4 linked regions of the Lytechinus pictus genome follow. The protein of the gene in region 4 binds, or shares a complex with, the protein of the main gene of each other region. Links are inferred from orthologs where the notes say so. Each region holds a gene or a part of one and is shown on either strand. Other genes may lie near its edges.

What was found.
Region 1: the proteins of glycosylphosphatidylinositol anchor attachment 1 protein-like (region 4) and phosphatidylinositol glycan anchor biosynthesis class U protein-like are in contact, whole or in part, in a cryo-EM structure (PDB 8IMX), measured with the Homo sapiens proteins. The link is inferred for Lytechinus pictus from reciprocal best matches to the Homo sapiens genes GPAA1 and PIGU. Residues at the interface, in NP_003792.1 of Homo sapiens: Gln245, Leu310, Arg311, Arg313, Phe358, Leu359, Ile371, Ala389, Leu390, Trp393, His397, Leu500, Ile504, Leu508, Cys512, Leu515, Thr516; in NP_536724.1 of Homo sapiens: Tyr349, Ile355, Phe356, Cys360, Ile363, Val364, Leu367, Leu368, Val371, Leu372, Leu375, Ile377, Tyr378, Ala379, Gly380, Ser381, Phe386.
Region 2: the proteins of glycosylphosphatidylinositol anchor attachment 1 protein-like (region 4) and GPI transamidase component PIG-T-like are in contact, whole or in part, in a cryo-EM structure (PDB 7W72), measured with the Homo sapiens proteins. The link is inferred for Lytechinus pictus from reciprocal best matches to the Homo sapiens genes GPAA1 and PIGT. Residues at the interface, in NP_003792.1 of Homo sapiens: Arg97, Ser98, Val99, Gly100, Glu102, Tyr104, Arg134, Ala135, Pro136, Arg137, Ala138, Ala139, Ser140, Thr141, Glu142, Arg171, Gly172, Gln173, Ile174, Tyr199, His200, Asp201, Val202, Leu212, Gln213, Gly214, Arg215, Ala218, Arg311, Tyr312; in NP_057021.2 of Homo sapiens: Gln91, Gly92, Phe93, Arg95, Arg97, Tyr98, Ser108, Phe211, His212, Thr213, Ser214, Asp247, Phe249, Ile250, Arg340, Gln355, Tyr357, Val358, Ser359, Gly360, Tyr361, Gly362, Leu363, Leu371, Tyr373, Lys441, Asp459, Pro460, Asn461, His462.
Region 3: glycosylphosphatidylinositol anchor attachment 1 protein-like (region 4) and GPI transamidase component PIG-S-like share a complex: the UniProt entries of both Homo sapiens proteins name them as parts of the GPI-anchor transamidase complex. The link is inferred for Lytechinus pictus from reciprocal best matches to the Homo sapiens genes GPAA1 and PIGS.

Annotation. Positions count from the first base shown.
Region 1 is NC_087246.1:56,750,983-56,758,517, reverse strand, and holds the start of phosphatidylinositol glycan anchor biosynthesis class U protein-like, read right to left. Parts: upstream 3,019-7,535; 5' UTR 2,995-3,018; coding exon 2,865-2,994; intron 1-2,864. UniProt on the Homo sapiens protein: Component of the glycosylphosphatidylinositol-anchor (GPI-anchor) transamidase (GPI-T) complex that catalyzes the formation of the linkage between a proprotein and a GPI-anchor and participates in GPI anchored protein biosynthesis.
Region 2 is NC_087246.1:41,756,687-41,763,553, forward strand, and holds the start of GPI transamidase component PIG-T-like, read left to right. Parts: upstream 1-3,866; coding exon 3,867-3,883; intron 3,884-4,164; coding exon 4,165-4,223; intron 4,224-4,619; coding exon 4,620-4,729; intron 4,730-5,247; coding exon 5,248-5,529; intron 5,530-6,867. UniProt on the Homo sapiens protein: Component of the glycosylphosphatidylinositol-anchor (GPI-anchor) transamidase (GPI-T) complex that catalyzes the formation of the linkage between a proprotein and a GPI-anchor and participates in GPI anchored protein biosynthesis.
Region 3 is NC_087245.1:38,640,754-38,647,805, forward strand, and holds the start of GPI transamidase component PIG-S-like, read left to right. Parts: upstream 1-4,041; 5' UTR 4,042-4,149; coding exon 4,150-4,186; intron 4,187-7,052. UniProt on the Homo sapiens protein: Component of the glycosylphosphatidylinositol-anchor (GPI-anchor) transamidase (GPI-T) complex that catalyzes the formation of the linkage between a proprotein and a GPI-anchor and participates in GPI anchored protein biosynthesis.
Region 4 is NC_087256.1:9,673,104-9,680,205, reverse strand, and holds the start of glycosylphosphatidylinositol anchor attachment 1 protein-like, read left to right. Parts: upstream 1-4,082; 5' UTR 4,083-4,167; intron 4,168-7,102. UniProt on the Homo sapiens protein: Component of the glycosylphosphatidylinositol-anchor (GPI-anchor) transamidase (GPI-T) complex that catalyzes the formation of the linkage between a proprotein and a GPI-anchor and participates in GPI anchored protein biosynthesis. Binds GPI-anchor.

The sequences.
Region 1 (7,535 bases), on a different chromosome or scaffold from region 4:
AAATGGCTGATCAATACCGAGAACGAACGTGACATTAGTCATTTAGATGCATAACGGGGGTGCGGTTTATCCACGGTGACGGGTCTAAGCCAGCCCGCCGTAACCCCTCCCGAACATGTAAGACTTCTGCCAGTTCACAACACATCGAGTGGCCGGGCGTAGCCACCCAGGGCAATGTCATTTAGTGGGGTATGAGCCGCGGGTAATGGGAAGCGATTATTACGATCTTAATCAAATATTGTCTATAACAAACGCACCCACCTTCATGACACTAATTTCGACTTTATTCTCGATTCAAAACAGCGAAGTACCCTGGCTAAGTTCAAAGAGAAACCAAGCATACTCGGTAATATTTTGTCACAGCTGAACGAGAGTTGAGCGAGCTGAGAGCTAGAGCTAGCTTGCGTTGTATTGTGGCTATGTAGTGCGACTTAACCTGGCGCTATTCATTTTAACCCCTCCAAAGTCCCGTTTCGCGCCAGCTTATTTTTTCTTTCTCGTTTGCTTTTCATAAGATACCATGTACACCACGCAACGAGAGAGACGGCACGAAGCCGTAAAAACAATTGGAAAAAATGCAAATTTCTTTGTTTCTTGAACCTTCCTGTAATCCCGTATCCAAAATTCATGCTAAGACATCGAATGCTAGACAAATTCTGAAAGTGATTGTGAGGTTGTGATGCAAGAAATGTGAATGTTTCTTCCTCCTACGCCGGGAAAGACACATCATAATTTGATAAGAGGTACTGCTGGTACCGTATCGTAGTTTGCAATGTAAGAACAGCAGTGCTGTGTGTGTGTACACTGTGACTGTGAGGTGAGTGTGTAAGTGGCCAATATTGTCAGGACCTTTCTTTCTTGCTAACATTTAGATGAATTGATCAAACAGCAGATTTCCGCATACCGGTAATCTCTTTGGATACCTTGAAATCTTTTTTGTTTCTTCGTACCTCAAATATGCATGTAAATGTGAGAAGGATTATTATTATCATTTTTTTTTTTTTAGTCCAAAGTTGGGGGTGCGGTTTATAGTCCGTTACTTACGGTACATGGGATAAAACTTCATTTCCGACATTTCTACGCTCTCGTTGCTTCAATAGACCAGTTGAAGCAAGTTGAAGCGGGACATTTTAGCACTTTTTAATCTAGCACCACTCATGATTTTGCTGCCCTCTATATGCGTCATGTAACAAGGTTGCATTAACAAAGGATCAAAGATGGCGATGTCAACAAGTGTAAGTAAACTCTCTTCTACTTTTATTACTTCATGTCATTTATTCGTCATTCTGTAACCATAACTATTCATTTTTTGCCAAACGTTGCCAACCAATATTTTTACCCATGTACAGAAGTGTTAACCTCAGATTCTAAACATAACTAGCAGTTTGGCGCATTTTTATAGTTGCCTTTTCCCTCGGTGCTTGGGAGCCTATATGTAGCAACGTCAGGCGTTCGGGGAGTAACCATACGTAGAGTATATGACTTTTACTCCCCAGACGCCTCCAGGCTAAGTACACTCACACTATTGCGAGGTTAGTATATGCTATACGAACCTCGCACAACCAACGTCTTTTTGTAGTGGATTTTAGAGTTGTCGTTAACATCGCTTCATAACGTGAATGATGTTAGCCGAAACCCATTCTGCTACTCACCAGGGCTTATTCTGGTAGAAAGCGTTCCATTATCAATTTTAACATATTTTTTAATTTAAAAAGGACACAAAAAAGAGCAAAATCGCTTACCTCCGCCTGGGTGGCTTCGCACGTCTCTTCCACGGAAATAAAAGGAAGGTCGTTGGTGGCGCTAATACAGTTCGCAACCTTAATTCAGCTTGGTGGTATTTTTTAAACTAGATTCATGATTCATTGTATGCGCAATTCCAATAATTGTTTGATAAAATAGAGACCCCAATAAATGCAATAACTTAAAAAACATACTTTTTTATTATTTTTGCTGACGATAATACTTTTTGGAAAATATTCAAAACGATGACAAATTAAACAAAAAATATAGAAAATTCTATGTACCTTGAACAAAGCCCTGCAAGTGCTACCGTTCGTTTGTCAATTAACGTTCCACCAAAGTCTTTACAGTAAAAAGATTGAACACTTTGCCGACTTCGCGTAACGCTTTGCATCGATTTACGTGTAAGATAATTTCTGTGTCTAGTCTTTCAATTTTAGTGTCTTTGATATGAAGATAAATCGCGCGCCCTCTTTCGCTCATTAGAGGAAAAATTTGAGAGCTAGAAAGGTAGCTTTCGTATTTTGTCAATGAGAAGAACAATCAACGCTTAAGTTAAATGACGCATTTTGAGAGATATTCATCAAATTATGAGGAATTGACTTCACATCATTTTGTAAGTTTCGTAGGATTGGTAAGTCCTCGTATTAATTTTTCGTAAATTAACGCTATTTGTTGAATGCGCCGTGCCTTCAATTATTCTGTAGTCGGCGGCTGAGATGTAGCCGTGGGTGGGCTAAGACTAAGTAAGCCTACGTTAGTAAATGATTTTTACTCTCAAGATTCAAGAAGCCGCCTTGCTAGAATGACCTTCATCCATATTAATTATAATCGAGGTAAGTGCATAATTTATTTTCCCCCCTTTTATTTGGAGTGCTATATTGCGACCCCATTTTGGAAAGTATCCATATTCCATGTCTGCCTAAATAGTAATATTACACGGACGAGTCCTGGCCCTAAGGCTGGGCTCCGCCTCCGGCCCGCTTCGCGGACGAGACGGGATGCCATTCATTGCTGATTTGCTCCCTGGGCCTGGGTTAACTAACTCTCGCCTCGCCTCGGCGGCTCAATGAGAATTACAGAGAAGTCTTTAAAGACCTCTAAACATCTGTTTCACTCACTCGATTTCCATGATGTAAGAGGTGTAGAAATTTCAACTCGATCGGTCAGCCAGCTTGATACAAATGAGTAAAACAATACAGATCTCACAGTCACTCCAATCAGAGAAACAAAAACCATGGAAGCTGCCATTTTATCAGCATTCTGTTTGTCGCCATCTGCGGCATACATGTGGTTAGTTCACGATGTACCACAAACCAAAATTTTATTTGAACCGGGATTTGAATATAAGAGAAACATCAAACAAGCATTATACAATTCAAAATTGGATGTAAAATGAGAAACATGGGCCGCGGAAGTGGGGGTGCTGGGGGGGGGGGGGGGGCTTCAGTCCCCTACCTTTTTCCAAAAACTTTGTACAAAAACGTAAAAATTACCATAAGAAACGGTGATTTTTTGAATGGTCAGCCCCCCCCCCCCCACTTTGAAAACAGTTCCGCGGCCCCTGAGAAAGTTATGACATATCAAATTTTCGCTTAATTTCACAAAACAGTTTTATTCACATCCTGGTCGGTATAAAAATGAGGGGACTGATGACAATACCCACTCACAGTTTCTTTCATAGGCCTATCAACATTTTTATTTTTCGTCATCATTGTCACATGAAACAGCGTCTCTCCCTGAACATGTGGAATTACCATTATTTGAACACTTTACTGTTTTGAAAAGTTGGTAGGACCTTCTCATTGTCAAATCTGTAAAAATAATTGATATTGTATTGTGCAAATAATGAAGAAAAAAAAGAAACAGTGAGCGAATTAAGGACTTCCTCTTTTACCTGTTTTGTGAAAATTTAGTAAGCAAAGTTTTGCCACAACCATGGGTGTCGATCGGTGTTCATGGTTGGGGGGGGGTGACTGACACAAAATATTGTTCTCTGTGAGGGATTTTTTTCTACTAGTTAGAGGCGGGGCAGTGGAATTACGAGTCTAACATTTTTAGGGATCCAGACATTGCATAAAACGGGCACTATAAAAAGCTGTGAGCGAGCAAAATTTTAAAACATTTTAAATAACATCATATTTCACCTCTTTCCCTCTTTCTTGCATGAAACTTTTTTTTGGGGGGTCCATGGTCTCCAAATCTCACGTCTGGTTTGCCAGCTATAGTGGAGGAGGGGTAGTCATTAACACCGAAGTTTAAGTATAATATTAGCTTTCTTTCCACAATACTAGTACTAGATACTAGTACTTATAAGGACTATATCAATAATGCGAGCGCGAAGTGCTAGCTGAATTTTTAAAGAAAAAATGACCTGAAAATGATCCAGTGCATTTTGATGACCGTTATCGGTTTTCATGGATATATCTCTTTTACACACTCTTTTAAATTTCAATATCATTTCTTTTATATTTTCTTCTCTTGTTTATATAAACTTGAATTAGGGAAACAAAATGAAGTAATATTTTAAATAAAGTAGGCACACAACATGCGATTGGTTGCGGGGGGGGGGGGGTAAATTAAAAAAACAAAACGTCATGCATAAAAACATCATCATGAACGTGTTATTCTACTTCATCCTGGAATATTTTCTTTCTCCAATTAGCATCTGTTTATCATAGTTTCCAAAGAAATTGTTTCATTCAACAGCAATAAACATAATAAAAATTATAAGCGAAACAATATAAATGGTCATTATCCGTAAATAAGATAACCATCGCGAAATTCATCATGATACTCATCATGATTATTATTAATAGTATAATTATAATATAACAACTATAATAACAATAATTATAATAATAACAATTATTATATTAATAATTGATATAATTTGTCATACAATTCATCACGTTGAAATATAATGTTCGAACTTAAATTATTGGAGGGATGATAACACAGACCATCCCCCTACCTGAAATATTGATATCTTTAGTCATTTACCCGATCTTTCCTTTGCAGTAGTGGAGAGATGTGAATGAATGTCGTCATAATTTATGTTTTGTTACTCTCTCGTGAACGAGTGCCGGGGGGGGGGTGGAATGGAAAGGATGTGGACGCGCAGCCCCAAAGTCTGAAGTTGTTATGATGAGGGGCTTAAGAACAAGATGGCGCTTGCATAATTATGGCAGGGCTCTGGGAACGATTTTTTTTTACTGGGGGTGCTGAAGTAAATTTACATGGGGGTGCTTGGGAACTAGAATTTAACATGAAAATGGGTCTTCGAGAACTGACTCTTGATGGGGAGCGTTTCATGAAAGGCCTTGATCTGACAAGTCCTGTTTTATCCGACAATTACCATAGTAACACTGTTTCTACAAGCCAATCAGAAACAGGGAAAGTTGTCAGATCTGACAACTTGTCGGATGAAAATGTTCATGAAACGCTCACCAGAAATGAAGGGCTTCTGGGAGAGAACGGTTTGGTGAGTGAACAAGGGGGGAAAAACGATATGCTTTGAAACTGCTGACAAGGCGCGAAAAAGGGAGGCTTATAGGTGCCATACATATACCATCATACTTCCCTGAACAGATTACTTTCGATTAAGGGGCCTCAGGGGCGGCTCCAGCTTTCACCAATAAAAAAATTTTCCCCGATCGACTGATAAATCCTGATTTTTGCTGGGTTTTTTTTCTGGGTGTAGTCCAATCTAATGAGTAGAAGTAATCGTATATATCTCTATGGTATAAGAACATATTTATTCTTACAAGCAAGATAGATATCTCCATAGACTTAAGAAATAATGCGAGCGCGGAGGGGAAAGAATGCATGTAGCCGCAGCATTCTTGGATCTGCCTATAGAACATTATCAGTCTTGATGTCACTTGTTCGCTGTTCTCCCTCGCATACTTGCCTTGCCTACGCATGCTCCCTCACCAACCTGTCTTATTTTAGGGGGTTGAAAAGCCCCCCCCCCCCATCCTAGTCTGCAGGCCGCACAGACCCCGATTAAAACTTTGATTAACAAGACTACCACAATTACAACTTGCTCTTTCTTTCACACAGAGAGGGCCTTCAGTAACCAAGTCATTATAGTCACAACTCGAGCGAAGGGTCTGCAAATGAGACTACCCCTTTTATTTTATTTTTTTTTTTTTGGGGGGGGGGCTTGTCAATTTCTCGCGGAGGTAAAGTCGATCCACTCCATTGGTCGAGTTTTTTTTTTTTTTTTTTTTTTTTTTTTTGGGGGGGGGGAGTGACCCTCTCCTCAATGGGGCTTAATATTGTTCGGATTGTATAGCGTATACCTGACAGCATAAACTGTAGTGTTATGCTGTATACATGAGTACCACACCAATAATTTTACACCGGTGATAATTCTGTAGTGTTTGTTCAACACCAAATAGTGATTTTCAACACTTGTTACTTTAAAAGGTTTGGTGTTGGGCCTATATTCAAACTCTAATAGGGTATAATTTCAACACCTCGTTGTGTGTTCCTCTATAGAGATACCAACTGCATGGTGTTAGTTTTAACACCACATTACCAGTTTACACCGCGATGGCCTTAGCATTGACACTCCAACACCGTTCAAGTGCCTGTTACAAGTCGTTCACATATTTACCAACTGTGGGAATAAATCAATAAAAGTTAAAATGGAACGGACTTATCGATCTTCCAAATTATTGTCAATGGGTGGAGAAATCAATAATAAGGATGGAATGCCGTAGTGTTGGCCTTAATTGTATATCTCTTTCTCCACAAAATAACGTACAGATGTATAATTGTTTTCCTCTAGTTAGTGAGTTGGATAAACTTTGGTATCTTGGGTGAAAAAAATACCACTGCATAACTAGTACATAACTTGAGCGAGGTAAGTTTTTATCAATCTATAAAAACTTTGATGATATTTTTTAAACAAATAATTATGGAGTTATTCACCGATTCATGTTTGCCCAATGAGTCAAGAGTTACATTTATTTTTGTTTGTTTAAATCATGGGTTCGGTCATCGAGTTGTTTTAATAAGTATATTTTCTTCTCTGGCATTAACCCTAATCAGACTTGTTCATTTGAATTAAATAACTGCATAATATTCCCACACACAGCAAACAGAACTGTATATAGTTTATTATGCATATATACGGTGCTCTCCAATAAGATACTGATAAAAACCCATTCATTTCAAATTCATGACACTCTTTTATTTTTATACCTTCTGGTGATAATGATGATGATGATGGTGATGATAACAATAACAATGACAACGACGCAATGACAATGATAAAAGTGATTATAATATACTACTACTACTACTACTTGACTACTACTACTACTACTATACTATTACTACTACTAATAATAATAATGATAATGATAATAATATCTATTATGATAGTAATATAATATCATATAATAATAACAATATAATACAATAATGATGTACATAATATATAAAGATATCGAATGTTTCATCTTATTAATTTTGCTCGTTAAATTTTACTCTCTCTAACCTGAAGAAAGTGGAGAATAAGCGTTTCGTAAAATAATAGTTTAAAAACCTCATACATCAAATTACAGTTGTTGATTCTTAAACAAAAATATCATATTTAATATCTAATCTTCAATGTTAAAGCATGGTCGCATGTTTAAACTGTTAAACAACTACTGTCCAGTTCATATAGTACACAGCATTGTATAACATTTTAAACATTATTTTTACTGTACGTACGAGGTGCAGTGAGTAAATTAAATTGCTACTCAGATCAGGATGGAATACAGAACTGCTGAAAT
Region 2 (6,867 bases), on a different chromosome or scaffold from region 4:
TTGGCAGCTTCAGCAGCCCCTAAAGTTCTTGAAACCCAATTCTGTGGGGCAACCATTTTCTCTATTCGGCCTTGCCTCGGCTCCAAACAAGCAGACCTCAGAGCAGCAGATTTATCAAATAAGGAGAACATTTGGGTATTAGCAGTTGAATATGGCGGCTCCTTTGGGCCAACTGACATATTCATGTAAAGGGTGATTCCATACGTGTCGTACGGGACATTTAGAGAACATTTGACAGTTTTTTGACAAGAAAAACTAAATATATTCCAGTAACTAAAGGTGATCATCAAGTACTACCAGAGTGTTAGAAAAACAAAGACTTAACATAACTTGAATTCACATCCTGTATAATACAGATTTAAAATAGTAATGTGTCGTACGGACGCAGAAAAAGTGACTTTTTTAGAAACCTCAAGTTTGTACTCTAAAGTCTGTGAGTTGGACAGATAATTTTCATAGAAACTGAACTCAAATTGATATTCAATTACCCAAGAACAAACACATCTATGAAAGAAAGCAAAATAATCCTTCATGAATAAATAAAGCAAATTGCAATTTTCGAGAACATTGTGGCGTACGGGACACTCAAAATGTGTCGTACGGGACATCTCTAAATTGAAGCCAAACTTTCTTACTTTATGTCTCTTTGACTTCTTCAATCACTTTATTTGGCTGATGATAATGATAATCCTATCAAACTAAAGACATTCATTATGTTAGAAACCGCTATTGGCTGAATATTTCTGTCAATTATCATAAACAAAATAATGTGTCGTACGGGACACTTGTGTGTCGTACAGGACACTTCTGTGTCGTACGGGACACTTGTGTGTCGTACGGGACACTTGAGTGTTGTACAGGCACTTGCGTGTTGTACTCGGCAGCCTGAATAAAACAATGAACTTTTTATTAATCAGAAGGGGAGCATTGCCCCTAAATTCTTCCTTTTTAATGAAAAGTCTTTTAATAAGTAGTCATTCAGGACAATATAATTAAGTAACCTCAATATATACAATCGGAAGCAATATGTCATCATTTTATTTTCATGATGGGAAATGTACAAGGGTTCACAGCATTTTTACGGGCTGAAAAACTTGAGGTTTTGTGTGAAGTTATATTCAGTGAATTAATTGATGATTTCCAATACACTATTTAAACAATGAATGAATGAAACTGTTTGTGTAAATTATGGGGCTAAAATGTTATAATTTTTCATATAAAATGTATATATACATGACAACTGTCACTTGTAATTCCACAAAATATATTTTTCTAAAGAAATTTTTTTCTACTTGTTCAAACCTTTCTGCATTTCATGAAACCATATGGTTTGTCTTATTTTCCAGATTTTTTTGTGAACAACATGGTTTGTCTTATTTTCCAGATTTTTTTTACAACTTGAAAAAAGTAAGGAGTTTCAATATTGTATATAAAAAAGTAAGTGATCATCAAGGGAAGTCCAAATAGATGATTGATATGTAATTTTTTTACATCTTATAATAATTCCACATTAGCATGCAAGAGGAAGTCATCTTCCAGGCTAGGGTGAATCAATTATAAAGGTTTTCTTTTCACGCTCAATGACAAAGAAATTAACCTGCTCTGACCAAAGAAAATCACCAGTTTAGCTGGAGGGATTCAAAAAAGAATACGCCTACATGAAATCAATTAAAATGGTTAGAATCACCTATTTCATGTTCTATGGAGATAAAAAAAGTACCTTTTCAGTACACTTTATGTCAAATCAATTACTTGAATTAAAATAGGTCTACTATTTATAGTTTCTGAATCCAAATCATGTAATTAAATGCATTATGTATTGTGTGTCGTACGGGACAACTATTAATAGGACAATTATTGAAAAATGAAGGACAGTAATTAGATCCTTATGGGATAAATCGATCACCCATGGGTCAAAGATAGAGAAACTGATTTTGTGAAATTGCATCATCAAAAAAAAAATTGTAGGAAAAACTTTTGCACTTTCATGTGTGGTACGGGACATTGCCAAAAATAGGTTCGGAAAAATCAGGGCTGCCCCTATTATGGATCATGAAAATGTTGTAGATATTATTTGGAACATTCAATGATACATTATTCCATTGACCTGCTATATTTTCAGTCTTCTCGTGCTTTGCCAATAATTGTTTCAGGCAGTGTTTGTACTTGACTATTTAATCAGCAAAATTATTGTCCAGTTGTCATGACGATTATCCGCCTTTTTCAAGACGGGCGCTCGTAAAAATAATTTATGGAGTTTGTGAACGCAATTTTTATTGAATTATCCGCATTACTCTTAGGCGGCTAATTGGAGGATATGTTTTATTGGGTTTATGAAAGGGGTATTAGACACTCACCAGAACTACACACATCGCAATCCATCGTGTGTGGCCCCCTGCTGTGACTGTATATGCCGGGCTGTTGTGTTATCTTCAGACCGAGGTCAAGAAACAGGTGTTTTGATACTTAAACTGCTTGCTTGGTACAGTTAGGGTATGAGGCTGTTCTCACTCAGTTCCTGAAACTAGTTTAGTGGAAACTAGTTTAACGCTAAGTGAGAACGGTCGAAGCGCTCTTGGAAGCGCTCTTCCAAACCAGTTTGGAAGACCACCTCGCGATGTAGTTTTCAAGATCGCTTCGCATCGGAAAAGTGGTTTTAGCGTAAGTGAGGACACAACCGTTCTTCGGGAAGCGATCTTCGCACATTTTGAGCGCGCTACTCCACACGACAGGTGTAGAATGCCTATGCTGCGGTTTCGAATTTCGCGCGAAACGTGTCACCCCACTGAGAGCGTTTCCATAGCAACAAGAGCGCTTTACGTGAAGTGATTTTGAAAACCACTTTCGTGTGATCAAGTGAGAACGCTAGCAAAGCGATCTTCCAAACTGGCTTTCTGAACCGGTTCCCAGTAAACTAGTTTTAGGAACGTAGTGAGAACAGCCTCTTTGTCTTACTTGGAGAAGAGAATTGATGAGAAGGGAAACTGAGGTATAGTGTTCTCAAATTGAGGTTTTCGTCATGATTTGTTACTCTTTTGGTTTTATATCAAATTGAGTATACTTATTCTTACTCTAGCACGAATAGTAAGTACTGTATAAACAATAGTATAGAATAATTTACAACGTTCGAACCGTGAAATCTTTGCTGTTCTCGATAATTCTTGTCTGGTCTCTGACCCTGTACTCTAGGCTGAGCTCGATTCAAATTTCGAAATAATGTGTTGATGTACGTCCGTCCAGGCCAGTCCGCACCTCCGCTCGCTCGATGCAACTTACAAGTAGTTACGGGGAAGGGGGTATGTACATGGTCGGCTTGTATAAATAGCCATCGAAGTCTCCATATCACTATAGGGTCTGGGAAGGAGACCGCCAGGGGGACATTCCCAGCCTGCACAAGGGGACGTTTAGCGATAGGTCAATCCTTGGATATTTTTTCCAATCTACTCCCTTTTTTAGGCCGGGGCAATGATGGGACAAAATTTGAGCGGGTAGCCAACGCACCCGCGCTCTCTGTGCCTGCTGGCAGGTTTTTTCTGCCCGCCGGCGAGGTTGTGTTCTCATGTTCAGTACTTGGTGGGGTTTCCATGCCCACTGCAATATTGGGTTCTTTATCAGGCGGATTTGAACTCAGACATCGGCAGCGGTGTAAGAAAAAGAAAATTAGAGGCACAAAAGTTGCATTTTATCACCTGTACAATGCACTTATGTGTTGTTGGAAGGGCGCGCGGTCGTGAAAGAGGAAGTGACGAGGGATGTAGGTCACAAGGTGACCCTGACGGGTTGCACGCTGTATGTGCCAGGGGCATGCAGAAATTATGTGGGAGATCTTACCAGTGTTGTTGAGGGTGGGGTGGGGGTGAATAGCAATGTTTAACAGGGACAGGTGAGTATGCCTCATTCGTAAATAAGACACTCACTGACTGAGTGTCGTTCTTTACTATACATTCAGCTAAGTTCATCTCATCATCTTGGCTAGCAGCCCTCTTTTCTAACACTTGGTTTGCCTTCTCTTGCTATTCAAGGTGCTTCTCCGGGTCCAGGTTTTTCCCTTTTAATTCAGTTATTCTGTGACTCTCAAATTCCAAGGTCCTCTGGTTCTTTTTATGCTATCTTGCATTGACTTGACTGCCTTTTCCATGATCTTCTCGAAATTGTCTGTTGCAGCTTTAAGATGGACTGTAAGCTGAGGTATGGCCAGGGGAAGTGGTGGAGCGTGCAGCATGGTTAGCTGGGCCAGTAGGGTCGGCAGCATCACCTTCCAGTTCATCGTTCAAGATATTGAATCTTCCACTGGTCTCAATGTTGGATTTATTAACAAATTTATCTCCTTTATAAGACATGATAAATATTATTAGTTACAAGTCAACAAGGGTAGTAAGAACTATCAACGTAATATGAAATATATGATTGAGAGATGGTATATATGGTGATAATGAAGTATCTAGGGAGATACTGTCACTTAGTTAGCAGCCATTTGGTCTTATTCGGTCTATGTTACAACGTATAAATGTCAAGTCATGCTTGTAATATATTACATAGAAACACTGTAAAAGATTTTGTATGAGCTGTTGCATGAATTAAATTTTTTTTTTTTTTTCAATTTAATTTGATGTACACAGAAGCATATGGTAGAAACACAAGTCTTCTTCGCCATGCCAGTCTTCCACGTGAGGTGGTATGCACTGAGAACTTGACCCCCTGGAAAAAACTGCTTCCTTGTGACTCAAAGGTATGTGATTAAATTAATTTTTGCTTTAAAAGTGCATGTATTATTTATTGTATAATATTGGTATCTCATTATAGGTTTAAGGTAAGCAGGATTTCAATAACGTGTGTTTGATATTTATCCTTGTATATTTGAGGATTTTAGAATAATCCTAGTATTTCAGGAAAGAGTGGACTGAAATTCTTGTTTAGTCAGGACTGATTTCTGGCTTGCTACACCAAATTTGTGAGATGCCTCCAAGAGGCTGAATGAATTTTATAGGGTACATTTATCTACAGTTTGTGAATTCCTCAAAGTGATGCCTTGTAGACATATTTTCTAATATCTACAAAGCCATACAAGAAAACATTTTCTTTAAGGAATAATTTATGAATGTAAATTTAGGAATTAAGCAGAAATACATTCTGTTGCATTATATATATATTCATTCTCTTAAAGTATAAAACAACTCTGTGATGTGCATGGTGCACGATGTTATAAAAAAATGTTGATAACTTGTTCATCTTTTTTTTTCTTGGAAGGCTGGTCTGGCATCACTCTTCAAAGCTGATAAGTTGTACAATGCCCATTATCATTCCTTGGCAGTCGATATACGACCAGTTTGTCGGTCAGGAATGATCCCTTGTAGGGAGTCAGCAGTACAGCTCAGTCAATCACTGAATGTTGTCTTTGGACCCTTGGCACAGAACAGACAAGGCACTCGCCAAGATGTTTCTTTGAGAGTCCTGTTTGGGAAGGTTTTGAGTGGTCCATGTCCAATGGCATCTAGCAGCAGGGTAATCGTGGATTTATCAAAGAATTATGTAAGTCTGTTTGGATTCAACTTCAATGAACACTTTTACTTCAGTTTATGTAAGTTTTGTACATTGTTATACCAAAATACTTCATTTAGTAAGGTGAGACGTTAATATCTGAGCTCTCATGCCGTGAAGTTCATGAGGTTGAATTTGTATATCAATAGAGAACCCCTGCGGCCATCGCGGAGTCACATAACCAGCCTGTGCAGCCGTGATTTTGGCACCTGCATTTTTTTCGCGGGCATTGGGCCAGCAAGCTAAGAGTTCTTCACGGGTTCATAACCTGTATTGTTTGCCATGAGAACTTGTAGTAGTGCAACTATTGTGATTCGAGCAATATTTTCGCCGTGCGAAATTTTTTGACCACGTCGCTTGCTGAATTTTTACTTTCAAGTCTTGTACAACTTTTGAGACCAGTTTTGTGTCATCCAGGTACGCCGTTCCGAAATTACGCAACATTATGTAAGTGCATGTCAGACCAAAAATTTGCTTAAAAACATGATTTCGTGTACAAAGTCAATGCAAACTGTGTTTTCAACCAAAAATCATAAATGTATGATTATTTTTAGTTTTGCCAGTCTAAATGTATTTATTTTATGCTGTTTATGATCTCAGAAGAGTCCCCTACAAATTTCATTGTAAAAACAATGAAAAGCGAAAGGTCCAAAAAAACAAAGAAATACATAAGAAATTGCAAAAAACAATATAATACATAAGAAATTGATCTGATATAACAATTTTTTAATGTACACTTGCTAAGAACAGCACAACGTTTTTTATACCAAAAATTAGAACATTTTGAGCTTTATTTAGGGAGCTAAGGGAAAAATATGATTTCACATACTAATTACGCATAAATAATAGCATAAACCCTAATAGCAATTTGCATGAAATAAATTACTATACAATATTGTACATTATGTCCCAGACAACCTGCGTGCCAATTTTCGGCGCGATTGCATGGCCAATGGCCGAGATCTCAAGGGGGGCCTGGGAGGACCGCCCCCCCCCTCCCCCCATAATTAGCATAATCACTTAATAGCAATTTGTATAATATAATTTATAGCAATAAATAGCATTATATCCCAGACAACCTGCGTGCCAATTTTCAGTGCGATTGCATGGCCAACGGCCGAGATCTCACAGGGGGGGCTGGGAGGACCCCCCCCCCGGCCATATGAACTTCCAAAATACCCCGGCCTAGATAGGGTTAAGGGCAGGGCTCGAAATTAGCGGCTGCCTGGGTGCCATTGGCAACCAAAACTACCAGTGGGCAACCTGAAAGTCCCGCCATGGTTGCCCTGATGTCAACCAAGAAAATTCTGGATTTTTTTTTCTCAAATA
Region 3 (7,052 bases), on a different chromosome or scaffold from region 4:
ATGCTTTAAATATGTTCATTTTCTGGTTGGGTTCACTAACTTTTGAGCACCACCGTACTGTATTATGTACAGGAGATAGTTTCCCAAAAAAATCAAACAGATCTGCCATAAAGCAAGTGCCTTCCATATCTATTATTTATTGTTTTGCTCTAGCATTTTAGTCATTCATGGGATTTTAATCCGATGAGTGCATGTCTAAAAGCTTCAGTATGTCTGTTGTAAGGCTATTTTACGATAATAAATGTTAGTAAGTGCGACTCTAAGTAGAGTTAAGTCATACCCCAAGATCCAACCTTGTTCACTGAATAAATGCCCAGATCCAGCTCATCAATTACTTAGCATGATTAGTTACGAACAAACTACAGCTGGCAGCCGTCTGTTTCGAGGAGTTTTTTAACATTTTCATTTTTTTTTAATTTCTCCTCATACACAGACGGCTCGCGATCGTGCAGCTGCCATTAGGGGGTTAACAATGCAAAATCCCCCAACGGGGCTCATTCATAGATTTTTGTCTTTATTTCATAAAAATATACAAAAAGAACTGGACCAAAATTAAGATTATTATTTCGTTTTGGCCTGAAATGCACCAAAATGGGGAAAAATAAACTTAAATTAAAAGGAAAAAAACTTTAAAAAGTGACTTGCTTCGGCTGTCGCGCAACTCCCACTTCCCTGGTTTATCTGAACTTAATACATAAACATATGGCCATTGAGTCCCTGTACAGATCGAGTTAGAACTTCAGTCTCTGTAATAATTAGTGAGTGGAGCCAACGGAGTTGAGCTTCAGCCAAACAAATATAACAGAGACAGAAGCTTTTATTTTTGTTTTAAGTTTTGGTCTACAAGTACAATAGTACTACAAACAAACATGCCCGATAATATTTAATAAATTAAAATAAATGTTCATCCGAGCATTTATTTTTTTTCAGTCTATGCCCATAATCAAATTAATATGGCACAGTCACACAATGTTGTGATGATCGCGATCGTGATCTTGGCCATTTCATTTCAGGCCAAGGCCAATGGCAATGCCGTATTCCCAGGCCAAGGCTACGGGCAGAGCCGGGGGCAGGGCCTGGCGGACATGGGCCATGCCCATGGCGGAGCAAAGGATAAGCTGGTGCGGAAATTCCAACCTCAATGTGCACCTGCCATTTATTATTACTAACTCACCGGATCTGTTTGTTTCCCTTCTTACAGTCAAAGTTTTATCTCTGTATATCATCCAAACAATGTCAACATTCGAAATGTAAATAAATGTAAACTATCTCATTTCTTCCCACAATTTTGCTGCCCATGATTGATCTACAAAAGGCGCAGCAGACGTACGTGACGTGATCGATCGAAAGGTCCTTGTCACATGCTAATATTCTTTGTCACGTGATATTCAGGAAATGGTATATTCTTTCTGATCTGGGATAGTCAGAGGGATTTTTTATAGAGGGGCCGATTTCACGAAAGGGTCTTTCCAAGGACCGTCTTTCGTGTCGCCCATCTTTTATGACGCACTGTATGCTGGATAATTCTTAAATGTACGATAAACAAATAAAATTTGTTTGCTAGCATTTAAATCAATTTGTATACAATTTCATGATATAGCACATCATTATGTAAATAAAGATTTGAATAAAATATGTTTGCAGGTAATTTATTTAAAATGCGTTTAATTCACATGGCGCATCTTAATAAATGGGCGACACGAAAGACGGTTCTTGCAAAGACCCTTTCGTGCAATAGGCCCCATATCTCTATGAGAGATACTGATAATATATCTCTATATATGGGGATAGGATTCTCTTCTCGGGGGGGGGGGGGTCCTCAAGGGTAGGGCTAGGGAAGGAGGAGTGGGTCACTGCATGGGTGTTGATCCCGGATAGCCTGGATTATATTCACGGTAGAGGGCCGTCACGTGATGATATGATAATGAAGATAGTAGAATTAAGGGAATAGAATATATTTTCAGTTCCAGGCCCGGATCCAGCTTTTGCCAATAGGGGGAGGTAGCAGAAAGATATTTTCATCCAGCTGATTTGGGGTTAGTTTTTTCGAGGGGGCATGCATGCATGCAGTCCTATAAACTTTTTGAGTACATTTGATATATCTCAGCTTTACTCTCAATTAAGCAGAGCCTTAATAAATCATGCGAGTGCAATTAATACCCGAACGGCATATTTATGGTTATATTCCCGGGATTTAAAGGAGAATGAAACCCTTGAAACCAGCTGAATCCATATCAAAGAGAAAAATCAAAGAAACATTTTGTTGAAAGTTTGAGGAAGATTGAATGAATAATAAGAAAGTTATGAGCATTTGAATATTGAGATCACTAGTGCCATGTAGATCCTCCCATCGGCAATGCGACCAAGATCTGTGATATCACACACGTACAACTCCCTCATTACTTTGGTACTTATTTCACTTATATTCTCACTTTTATAGAGTCTATCACAAGGTGAGGTGTTCTCTTTATGAGATGACAAGTACAGAGGTTTCACAACATTATATCATTGATGAATCGTTTGTCATATGATTAGAATGAGCAAAAAGAAATGTTTTGGGGTATATTTTCAGTGTCCAAATGGGAGAGTTGTACGTGTGTGACATCACAGATCTTGGTCGCATTGCCAATGGGAGGATCTCCATAGCATTAGTGATCTCGACATTCAAATGCTCATAACTCTTTTATTGCTAGTCCTATTTTACTCAAACTTTTGTTGATCTTATTTTTTGATTTTTCTGCTTTCACAAAAGCTAACTTGCTCCAAGTGTTTCATTCTCCTTTAAGGAATAATTTTTTAATTCACAACATTTCAAAACTTATTTATTTCTGGAGTTTGGATTTTATGTTTGGCTATAACTTGCAGATATTTCCATCGGAGCAATTTTCGCCGGAGCAAATGTAAGGTGCAACCATCTTTATCTTTCTATCTATCTATCTATCTATTTAATATCTATCTATTTATATATCTTTCTATCTATCTATCTATATATCTATCTATCTATTTTTCTATCTATATCTATCTATCTTCTATCTATCTATCTATCTATTTCTTCTTCTTCTTTTCCTTTCTTTCGTTCGTTTGTTCATTTGTCTGTTCATTTGTTTCTTCGTTCGCTCGCTCATTCACTCGTTCGTTCATTCATTTGTTCATTCAGTCAGTCAGTCATTCATTTATTCATTGATCATTCCGTTCATTTAGGCCTACTCACTTTAGTTCAAATACAATCAAAGGACAAGTCCACCCCATCAAAAAGTTTATTTGAATAAAAAGAGAACGTTCCAACAAGCATAACACTGAAAAAAGTTATGACATTTTAAAGTTTCGCTTAATTTCACAAAACAGTTATATGCACATCCTGGTCGGTATAAAAATGAGGAACCTAACGATGTCATCCACGTCACTATATCTTTTGTATTTTATTTTATGAAATGTGAAATATTTTATCTCCTCATTGTCAAGTGAAACAATGATTAATTCCTCCATGATCATGTGGAAGTAGCATATTATTTAATACTATATGGTTCAGTCAAGTTGGTCCTTATTGTCAAAACTGTAAAAAATGAAATATTGTAGAATTCAAACAATAAAAAACAAAAGAAATAGTGAGTGAAGTACATCATCGACTGTCTCATTTGCATGTCACTGAGTTGTACATAATCACGGTTTTGTGAAAAATAAGCGAAACTTTAAAAAGTCATAACTTTCTTGTTTTACCTCCGATTTTGATGAAATTTTGAAAGTTATGCTAGTCTGATTTTTCTCTATTATTGATTTTTTTTTTTCTGGGGTGGACTTAAGTAAATTATCTCTGGCCTTAGCTCTCATGCAGCATTGAGACTACAAAGAAGAAAAATGCAAAGATATGCGATAAAAAATAATGTATGAAAATAAGATTAGAGCAAAAGTACTGGAAACACAACAAAAGCTACAATATCCCCCCCCCCCCCAAAAAAAAAAAGATGCGCTAATAGCAGACGACGCCGGTCGTCGCGATATCGGGTAGTCGGGTACCCGCGGCCGCGCGCGCGCAATACCGGTATCGCCTGGAAAATTTGTAGATTTGACCGAGTCTGAGTCTGAGACTGTGAGACTCTGAGTGAAATTTTGGCGTAAATTGCTGATTCAGCATTTATTTGCTCCTCAACTATGGCTAAACAAGGGTCAGAACGCGAGGAGAGTTCAGGTAAATAAGATAAAATTATAACTTTGTTAAATATTTTTTCTAGTGTCGATTAATTAAGTTCCAGCTACCAATCAGTATCTCAGTGACCTTCGGTCCCATGTGTGGAGATTGGTGTAACGTATGCGCGTCTTTCTTGTAATAAGTTGTTAAACTTAAAAATTAAGACTTTGTGTGTCATATGTTAGCTATAGAGTAGGGCCTAGACCTTATCGCAAATGGATATACGCAAAGGATCACGGGACCCCAGCTTGCATGCTTCCTCTTTCTTTCTTTTTCTTTCTTCCTTCCTTAATTTTTAATCCTTACTTGCTACCTTTCTTTCTTTCTGGCGAAGTTTCTCTTTTTTCGTTTCTAATTCTATCCTTTCTTCTATCTTTCCCGCTTGCCTTTTTTGTTCCATCTATCTTTTCAATCTTTCCTAGCTTTCTTTCCTGATCTTTTTTCTCTCTCTCTATGTTCATTATTCTTTGTTTCCTTTGCTTTGTTTTCTTGTACTTTCCTTCTTTCTTTAAATTTCTTCATTTTTTTTTTTGCTTCCTTGGCTTCTCCCTTCCTCTCCTTTTTCTTTTTCCGAAGTTTTTGTTCTTTCTTTCTTTTCCTTCTTCCATTATTTTCTTCTTTTTAAAAAATTCTCTCTTCACTTCATTCTTTCCTTCCACTAAAGTTTCATCCTTTCGTTCTGTATCTTCTTTCCTTCTCTTTTTCCTTATTCTTTCTTTCCTTTTTTCCTTCCTTCCTGAAATTCCCCTTTCTTTCTTTCTTTCTCTTTCTTTCTTTGTTTTCTTTTTTTTCTTAAAAAAAATGCAGGAAATCTTTTTTCTTCATTCTCTCTTTCTCCTCTTTTTCTTACTTTCTTCCTCCCCCCCCCCCCCCCCCGGCTTTTTTATTTCTTTCCATTCTTTCTTTCACCCATTAATTCATTTTCCCTTTCTTTCGTTTTCCTGTTCTTTTCTTTCCCTTTTTCTTTATTGATTTCAAAGAATGGAGGAAACCTTTTTTTTTCTTTCCTTTATTCTTTCTTTCTTCTCCATTCATCTCTTTTCTTTCCTTTTTTTTCTTTCTCTCCTTCATCCTTTCCTTCACCCATTCATTCACCTTCCCTTTTTCTTTCTTTCTTTTTTTCTTTTCTTTCTTTTTTCCTTCCTTCCTTCCTTTCCTTCTTTTTTTAGTTATTTTCAGTGATTCCCCTTTTTATTTTGTGTCACGTTCATATACAAAAGCACATGAAAATATATGAGGGAGAAAATTAATCAAATGGTGTATTGACACCAATTTCGGTCATAGGAGGTAAAATCACTCCTAGTACCAATGAGGTCCAAACATTACATGTATGGACCTCATAGGCGACATAAGTGATAAAACCGGTTAGACATTGCCGTTTCTATTTGCACCCAAGGACTTTGGCAAATGTACGCCTTAATACAAATTGGATGGTAAAATTTTTGGTATGAATTAGTTTTAAACATCATAAATAATCTTTTACAATGTTTAAAAGTTAATGGATTGAGGTTAAACTTACATTTTCAGTCTTTTTTCTTGAATTCTTGGTGAGCGTTCCAAACGCTGTGAGGACTGATCAACTCCGATGTGATTCACGTACTGGTCAGCTGATCGGTCAGGTGATCGGTTGTTATCGGTTGGTTATCTTATTGTCAGACGTTCATAATTTATATTACAATATATCAATCTTCAGTATCTTGATTTCAAGCATCAGTATTGCAGAGAAAAGTCATTATACTAGATTGGAATCAGTGGCAGATCGGGGGGGGGGGGGGTTGAGCATTTCTGGCCTGTTCCACCTTTTGAGATTCATAGTCAATATTTTGGATGTAAAAAAGAAAATATGTCGTTCATACAAAGTTATGTCCCCCCCCCCCCCCCCACCTAGCTCCCTTATGAGAATCACAGCAATATTTGTAATGGGGATATTTTGTTCATATTCTTTGCCCTTTTTTGCTTCTCAAATTTATTTTACTTTGAACAATATGACTTTCTATATTTAGTGACAAACTTTTTTATGGGGGGGTGGGGGGCTTGCCAAATATAACGCAGGACAAGATGACCTTCTTTTTTTAGTGACAACTTCTTTTTTTTGTCAAATTTTACGAGAGACAAAATGACCTTCGATCATTATTAGTTAAACCTTTTTTTTTGGGGGGGGGTAGGGGGCTCGCCAAATAGTGACACACTTTTTTGTAAAATTTTACGCAAGAAAAAATGATCTTCAATCATTATCAGTTACCTTTCATTCGTTTTTTTTTGGGGGGGGGGGGGCTTGCCAAATTTTATGTGGGACAAATGACCTTCATTTTTTAGTGATTTTTTTTTTATACTTGACAAATTTTAAGAGGAACAAAATGGCCTTCAATCATTTTTAGTTAGAACCTTTTTTTTTTGGGGGGGGGGGGCTTGCCAAATATTTCACAGACAAAATGAACTTCAATTTTAGTGACCAGCTTTTTATTACTTTTAAAATTTCACGCAGGACAAAATGACCTTCACTTTTTTTTTTATGTTAACCTGGGGGGGGGGGCTTGCCAAATATTACACGGACAAAATGACAGTATTTTATTTTTAGTGACCATTTTTTTAAATACTTTTTTTCAAGCTCGTCAGGGGGGCAGGGATACGTCATTTGCATGGGTTGTGACTCATCGGGGGGGGGGGGGGCAGTGTCTGCCCCCCCTTGCTCCCCCCCCCCCCGTAGGTACGCTAGTGCTCGGGACCTACATTACGTAACTTTTATCTTCCACATATATATATATATATGCCCCCTCTTATATACCCCTGTTATGCCCCTGCACAGACTCGTCTACATTGATTTCGATATTTAAGCGTCATTATAAAATTATAACAAAATGAGCGC
Region 4 (7,102 bases):
TTTGCCAACTGCAAACTTGTAGACAAGTCTACAAGTTGTAGACTTGTCTTAATGAATTTGCCAACTGCAGATTTACCAGTTTTTTAAGTCTTGTGTTCTGTTCTTTTCAGATCTGAAACGGGGCAGTACTTGTACATCACTTTGCTGACTGGTAGAGCGTATAGTGTTCTGCCACTTTATAATTTGCCAACTATACTTTGGCTTTGATTATTCAACTTAAACCTTGGAAATTCATCCCACCCAATATTTATGTACCTAGTCTTGCCTCTAATTTTACAAAACTAATGTGTTTGTTAAATCGTCAATAATTGTGGTATAATTTGCAAACTAACAAGCTTGTTCATATTGGGGGAGGACCGGGGGCTTACTTTGTGTGTTATTATAGCACCATCTGTTTTGTACTTAGTATTTTGCTGACTTGTAGGGCAGGCGCGTAGCCAGGGGGGGGGGCGGTGGGGGCGGTCGCCCCCCCAAAAAACGTCCCCAAAAAGAAAAAAAAAAGAAGGGAAAAAAGAGAGGAAAAAATGAAAAGGGAAGGGAGGAAAGGGAAGAAAGGTAGCTTTGTCGGTTTTTTTTTCTTTTTATAATTTATTTTTTTTCTCAAAAGAGAAACTCCTTCACACTTGCTTTAGATTTATATATGAATTTTGCTTCCGCGCTGCGCGCGGTTAAATGACAATATTGAAGTTCTCCATTGTTTCCCCACCCTTTCTCTAACTCTGCTTTTCCACCTCAGCTATATGTGTTTCTTGCCAGTTAAAGTTCAAATGTATAGATTAGGGCATGGAATAAGAGTAAGGTTAGGCCGAAGTATATGAAGTTATCTTTTTTTTATTGATCGCGCAACTTCTGGTCGGGTCGGCTCCGGGCGGGTAAAATCTTTATATCAATTTATGCCGTCACCTCCATCAAGTCAACTTCTCCCGCTTTTCAGGTCATTACTAAACAATCATAATTTGGGGCAAACAGGTTCCTAATTTAAAAAGAGGAATGTATAAAATTCGTGTCGTATTAAATAAAAAAGTACAATATTTTTTTCAAATTCTATTAATCTTCATGTTATTTCCCTGCACATTCATCTCCTGTCCTGTTTTGCGCCCTCAGTTTGAAATTTTGAATGACACTTAGGTTTCTTTATAATTCAAAATGAAGCGCTTCAGGATAAGTCAAAGAAATTAGGCATCCTTTTTTATATTATTTTAATAAATCACAGAAGTTTCAACTTTTTGCGCACTATTTTCCTTGTAATGAAGTTCAATAATCTTAGGAAATCAATTGAATTAGAGCCGATGGGGTATTAGATATATCTGCATTTGATGAAACGTCCGCCCTTTGAAATTTCAGAGTTTTATTGCTCTGCGCGGGGAGGAATATCTTCCTCCCGGCATATACACTTCTTCTCCTCTGTTTTGCGAGTTAAAGATATGCACTGTCGCTAAATTGTTTGTAATCAAATCTGATATTTCCAAGGGAAGTATTCAATATATCTTTGAGAATACCCTTTTCTCGGGACCCTTTTCATGGCAAAGAAATTGATAAAACGCTTTAGCTTCCGCGCTTCGCGCGGGGTTATAATGATTTTAATTTCCTCCATTGTATTCCTTTTCGTGCGTTCACAATCACTTTTGAAAACAAGGTTCAAAATCACAATAAAGTCAACTAAATTGGAGCTGATATAGGTACTAGAGACAAGAGAGACGGCTCCTTTTCATTTTAATTTATGAAACACCAAAAGCTTCGCGCTTCGCGCGGGAGGGGAAACTCCCCCTCCCTGCACCCACCCCCTAGGAAGCGCTTCGCGCGCTCTGTAAGTGTAGGCACGCTTCGCGTGCATTTACCGCCCCCTCCAAAATGAAATCCTGGCTACGCGGTTGTTGTAGGGCTCTAAGCCTGGCAACATGGACTTGGATTTGCCAATTGGTTGTCTTTACTCTAAAAGTCGTAACCTTCTTCAAAGTTAGTACCCCTATTTTCCTTTTTTTTTTTTCTTTCTTTCTTTCTTTCTTTCTTTCTTTCTTTCTTTCTTTCTTTCTTTCTTTCTTTCTTTCTTTCTTTCTTTCTTTCTTTCTTTCTTTCTTTCTTTCTTTCTTTCTTTCTTTCTTTCTTTCTTTCTTTCTTTCTTTCTTTCTTTCTCTCCCCTCTCTCTCTCTCTTTCTTTCTTTCTTTCTTTCTTTCTTTCTTTCTTTCTTTCTTTCTTTCTTTCTTTCTTTCTTTCTTTCTTTCTTTCTTTCTTTCTTTCTTTCTTTCTTTCTTTCTTTCTTTCTTTCTTTCTCTCCCCCTCTCTCTCTCTCTTTCTTTCTTTCTTTCTTTCTTTTTCTCCCCTATCCTCCATTTTGCCAACTGGTACATGATTTTGCCGACTGCCACGAATGTTGGGGGGTGTCGCACCCCCCCCCATACCCCCCCTCTAGCTACGGCCCTGCTTAGGCGGATAATACGGATACCTTTCAGATATAGTAATGCTAGAAAAAAAAACTCACGAATAATAAAGAAATGTATCTAATAGCTCTGAAGGGGAGAAAAAAAGAGAGAGACGAATTGACCTTAAATATTGGTGAAAACCTTTTTTTTTTTTTTGCTTATTGACTTTTTGGCGGACGGATTATTGACCTTAAATATTTTTTTCTTTTTCTTTTAAACCAGTACTGGTCTTCTTTATTTGAATAAAAAATATACACGCATAATTTTAAAAAAGTACACAAACAAAAGTTCAACAAGCTATTCAGTATTAAATTCCATTTGCTAATATTCATATACACATTTTCCTTTCGTTTACCTCTCTCATTATCATATCTATTTTCCAAAACATATATATGAACATAATATTCAAATCATAAAGCTTCATCTTTTCATTGTAACTAATGTTATCTTGTGATATTTGTAAATCGAATATAATGCATTATTCAATATTAAATTCCTTTCTTTTTCTTTTTCTTTTCTTAAACCGTAAACAAAGATTTTGAACTAGACACCTTCTTATGAGTGCTTCAACGTATTTCCAAAACTTATCAACCTCTGTACACAACTAAAACAAATGTAATAAATCACTCAACTTATTGCACTCACTACCTGAATATATGTGTTTGTTAAATTCCATTTTTTTTAAGTTACAGAGAGTAGGTAGTAAATTATACATAAAATTGAAATTAAAATGGGCTATGGTATTATCTTGAATACTTTTGAGTTTCAGTGTCCATGTAAACAACCAAGAATTTTTATTTTCTTCATCTAAAATTTCTATTCAAAATAATTCGGCCCTTGATTTTTCAACATCTAATTGCAACATCTCTTGATAGATTTGTTTTACTCTAGATTTACAATTAAGCAATGTATTTAAAGATGGCATGGATAAGGAGACAACTTAAATATAGTTGGCAATTTTTTTTATTACTTGTCAAATTTTCAATGGGTAAAATCATGCCACCCCTTTTTAAAAATCCTGGATCCTGTACCACCCCGAAAGTTTCAACTCTGGATCCGCGCCTGCCTAATATATAGTAGCCTAAAAATAACAATACAAATAATAGTAATATATGATGATGGTAATAATGATAGCAATTAATAATAATATCAAAAATTATTAATAATAATAAATTAATAATAAACTGGTGCATATCCAGTATTCTGCACCCTGTGGGCCCACCAAAACCGCGTGCGCGAGCAACATAGCTCACGTGCAAAAAATCCTTCTTTTATGAAGCTGAATAGGCCTACCTTTATTTTAAAAACATTTTTAAACAGAATTATAGAAATCATAATTTCGGAAATATTGAAATTACATTAAAATTACACAAAGATATATTTTGAAACATTTATCAAAGTAAATAATTATAATTACTGCCTTAGAAAGATTTGATAAATATGGAACCAAAAGGCGGCTCTCCTATCGTTTCGGCCAAATTTGAACCAGTCATTTGGATCTGGCGGGCCCGATCGACTAGCGGTTTTGTACTGGCGGTACTAATCAGCTAGCCGTTTTGGACCGCCGGTTTCCGGGCTAATTCGCCAATGACACCGGCCTGCGCCGCTCGCGCTTGCGCTTGCACGCGATAAAAATATGCGCATGCGACGTACGTGCGCTTTGCACATACGTTCCGCTGGATTGATTGCTGTCCACTTAGCTTGGCACTGACTTGGACTTACCGCAGAATTGCTCAAATTATATAGGTTAGTAATTTTAATATTGATTAAAAGTTTGTTTGGTTATAATTATTTGTTATGATTTAGATGTAGAGCTATCATATTGGTCTCATTTTGTAATTGATAGGAAAATCTGATGAAGTTAAATTATGCTCCTTCTTCATGGTCATGTCCTTGGACCTTGCTTCCAACACAATTTCTTACACCTGGGACTGGGCTTGGATTCGGGACGAAGTCGGAGGCACATGACGTGCATGTGCAGGGAGGGAACCCCGTCGGATCGCGGTCGCGAGCCGTGTTGACGTGGTCGTGGTCCGAACGGTGAGTACCGGGGGGGGGGGGGGGGGGCACTCACATAATTATTGGTGGTACGCAGTCAGACCGCAGTTCCCTATGCTAAAAAAGTAATGAGCAAAAAGACCAGATTCATCCAAATCATCTCGTGGCTGAATCCTCCTCCGGCTCCGGCCTCCTTGCAAAATCTTGTTGTGATTCGTGAGATTTTCTTACTTTCTCTAAGAATTTACCTGTTTTAACAAATAAATTATTATTGCACTATCAGGCATCAGATAGAGTGAGTAACTTGTTAGATGTTATTCTCTCATATTGGTCATTTATTTTGTATAGGGGCCTACAATATTTTGATAAATAAGTAAATTTCTGGCCTGAAAATGTGCCTCAAAACTGAATTTTCTTCCTCTGTTTTCTTTTGCAAATTGTGCATAACTTTTTATTTTGAGCCTCAATGATATCACCATAAAGCTGAACTTCTGGGCTGGGCCTGTTGCATGAAATGGTCTTTCGTAGAACCGTTCTACGTAAGAACGAGATATCGCTCAACTGTTACAAATTAAAGCCGATACCACTCATTCAATGAACAAGGTTATGAAATAACCTTGTTCTCAGTTATATCTCCATGTGTGGCAAAATAAGGATGGCAATGTTTGGCTAATTTTCTCTTTTTCTTTGGGACAAATGCTTGATTTTTTTACACTGACAGTTTTCATTACACCTATTCGTCATACAACTTGGCCCTTAAGTAAATTTGATTCTTTAAATTATTTTTTTCTTAAAGTTGAATTAAGAAGACGATTCCAAATATTGAGATATTTACATTAATAGCAACCTTACAACCCCCCAAACACTTATAGGTGATACGACCCCCCATTTTCTTTTTTCAAAATAGTGAATTTGAACGATTTATCCCTACCCATTTTCCCTGAGTTCGCTCCTGCAATGCCTACCGAGACGGGTGTTCTTTGAGTGTGACGTCACCGGGGGGTATTCGGTCCCGGTGTAGTAAACAAGGCAGTGCCGTTTTGTGTACTATGCACGTACTCCTTCATATGGAATAACTGCAGTTGAAGTTGTATCTGCGAGCCATAGAACTTGCAAAGAGGAAATGATTAAAATATTTGTGGCCGTACTATTATTCCAAATATGTGAATTCCCTCAGAATGATACCATAGACCCTAAAGGAATAATTTCAAGGAGAATAATATGAAATTTGATCGAGATCTTCTCACCAGTCGATAACGTAGCAGACGTGTTATTATGACATATTTATCCGCGTGTGACGCGGCTCTTGCAAAAAAACACAGTTGGTTGCGGAATTGCTTTGTGCCGACCGGCCGCCCGCTCCGGCGCAGCTAGCTGTCGAGCTACCGTACCGTTCTTGTTGTCTTCAACCATAGAGATGTATACTAATTACTATATATCTTTCTGTCTTCAACTCACTTCCGAATTGCGTTTGTATGTGTGACGGTGACCCCTAGCGTAATTAAATATAGAAAACAGCTCAGAAGGCCGAGAAAGAATACTATACGTTTGGTTCAAGATTGTTCTGTGGAATGAGCTATGAGTGGAAATGATCCAGAGGATATAAAAGTGGAGTCAAAGACAAAAGAAAAGAAGAAAAAACGCCAGGGGATCGCTGCACGGCCATGAACTAAGTCGACATACCAGACCATAACAGTACACTCAATGCCTGGGTGTTGTGTGTACTAGTATTATGCGTTCAGCGCGCGCTGAGCTAACCGCCGGAATTACTTTCCAGCTACTCACTTGATTGAACATCGTGATAAAATAAATGAGAAATAGTGAAAATATCATTCAATAACTCACTGTTTGCTATCTTACATCATGATTGAAGAGTTCATGGTGGTTATTCATACTGTTTTTTATACAGGGAAAGTAAAGATTTGTACATATCAGTCCTATTTGTTTGATTTGAGTTGCTTTGAAAAAAAATTGTAAAATATCTTTCTCTCTCTGCATAGCATTTCTGTATGACATTCAGGCACCTCTTATACTAAATTCTCCCCGGTGACGTCACACTCCGAGTGACTTTTCTGTACACTCGTCTCTCGAGCTCTGACAGGTGGCTAATTTCATAGACTTTCAAAGCAAAATATCGAGAAGGCAGAGGATTATTGTGACATGCTATGTGTTTGAACAACTTATATATACTATATATTGTATGTAGAACCTATATTTATGGAAACTCACCCCCTTCTTAATTCAACTTTAATTAAAAACAGATAAAAAATGATAATTTTCTTGCCATATTATTTTCCACCAATAGAGGGCGTACACAAAAATATGCCAAAAATTAAAGTTTTTGAGCGCTCTAGTAAATACAAAAATTATTCCCAAGTTACTAATGAAAAATAAATTGCAACTGTATGGAAATTAGTAATTTTGGTCACAAAAGTGATATTTTAATCATTTTTTAAAGTGTGTGCTCTGTACAGCATTGGCATGCCATAGTCCAACCTGTAGATTCCCCACAGGCAGGGTGGTTGCAGTGTGGTTGCAGTGAACAAGTGGGCGATTCAAACACATGACCTGAAAGAATGATTCTTCTTCTTTACAATGATACCAAAATCATGAAGTTCGATGCACAATTAGAGCAGCAATGACCGAATGAAAAATTGTGTTTTGGTCCTCATCAAGCTCATTA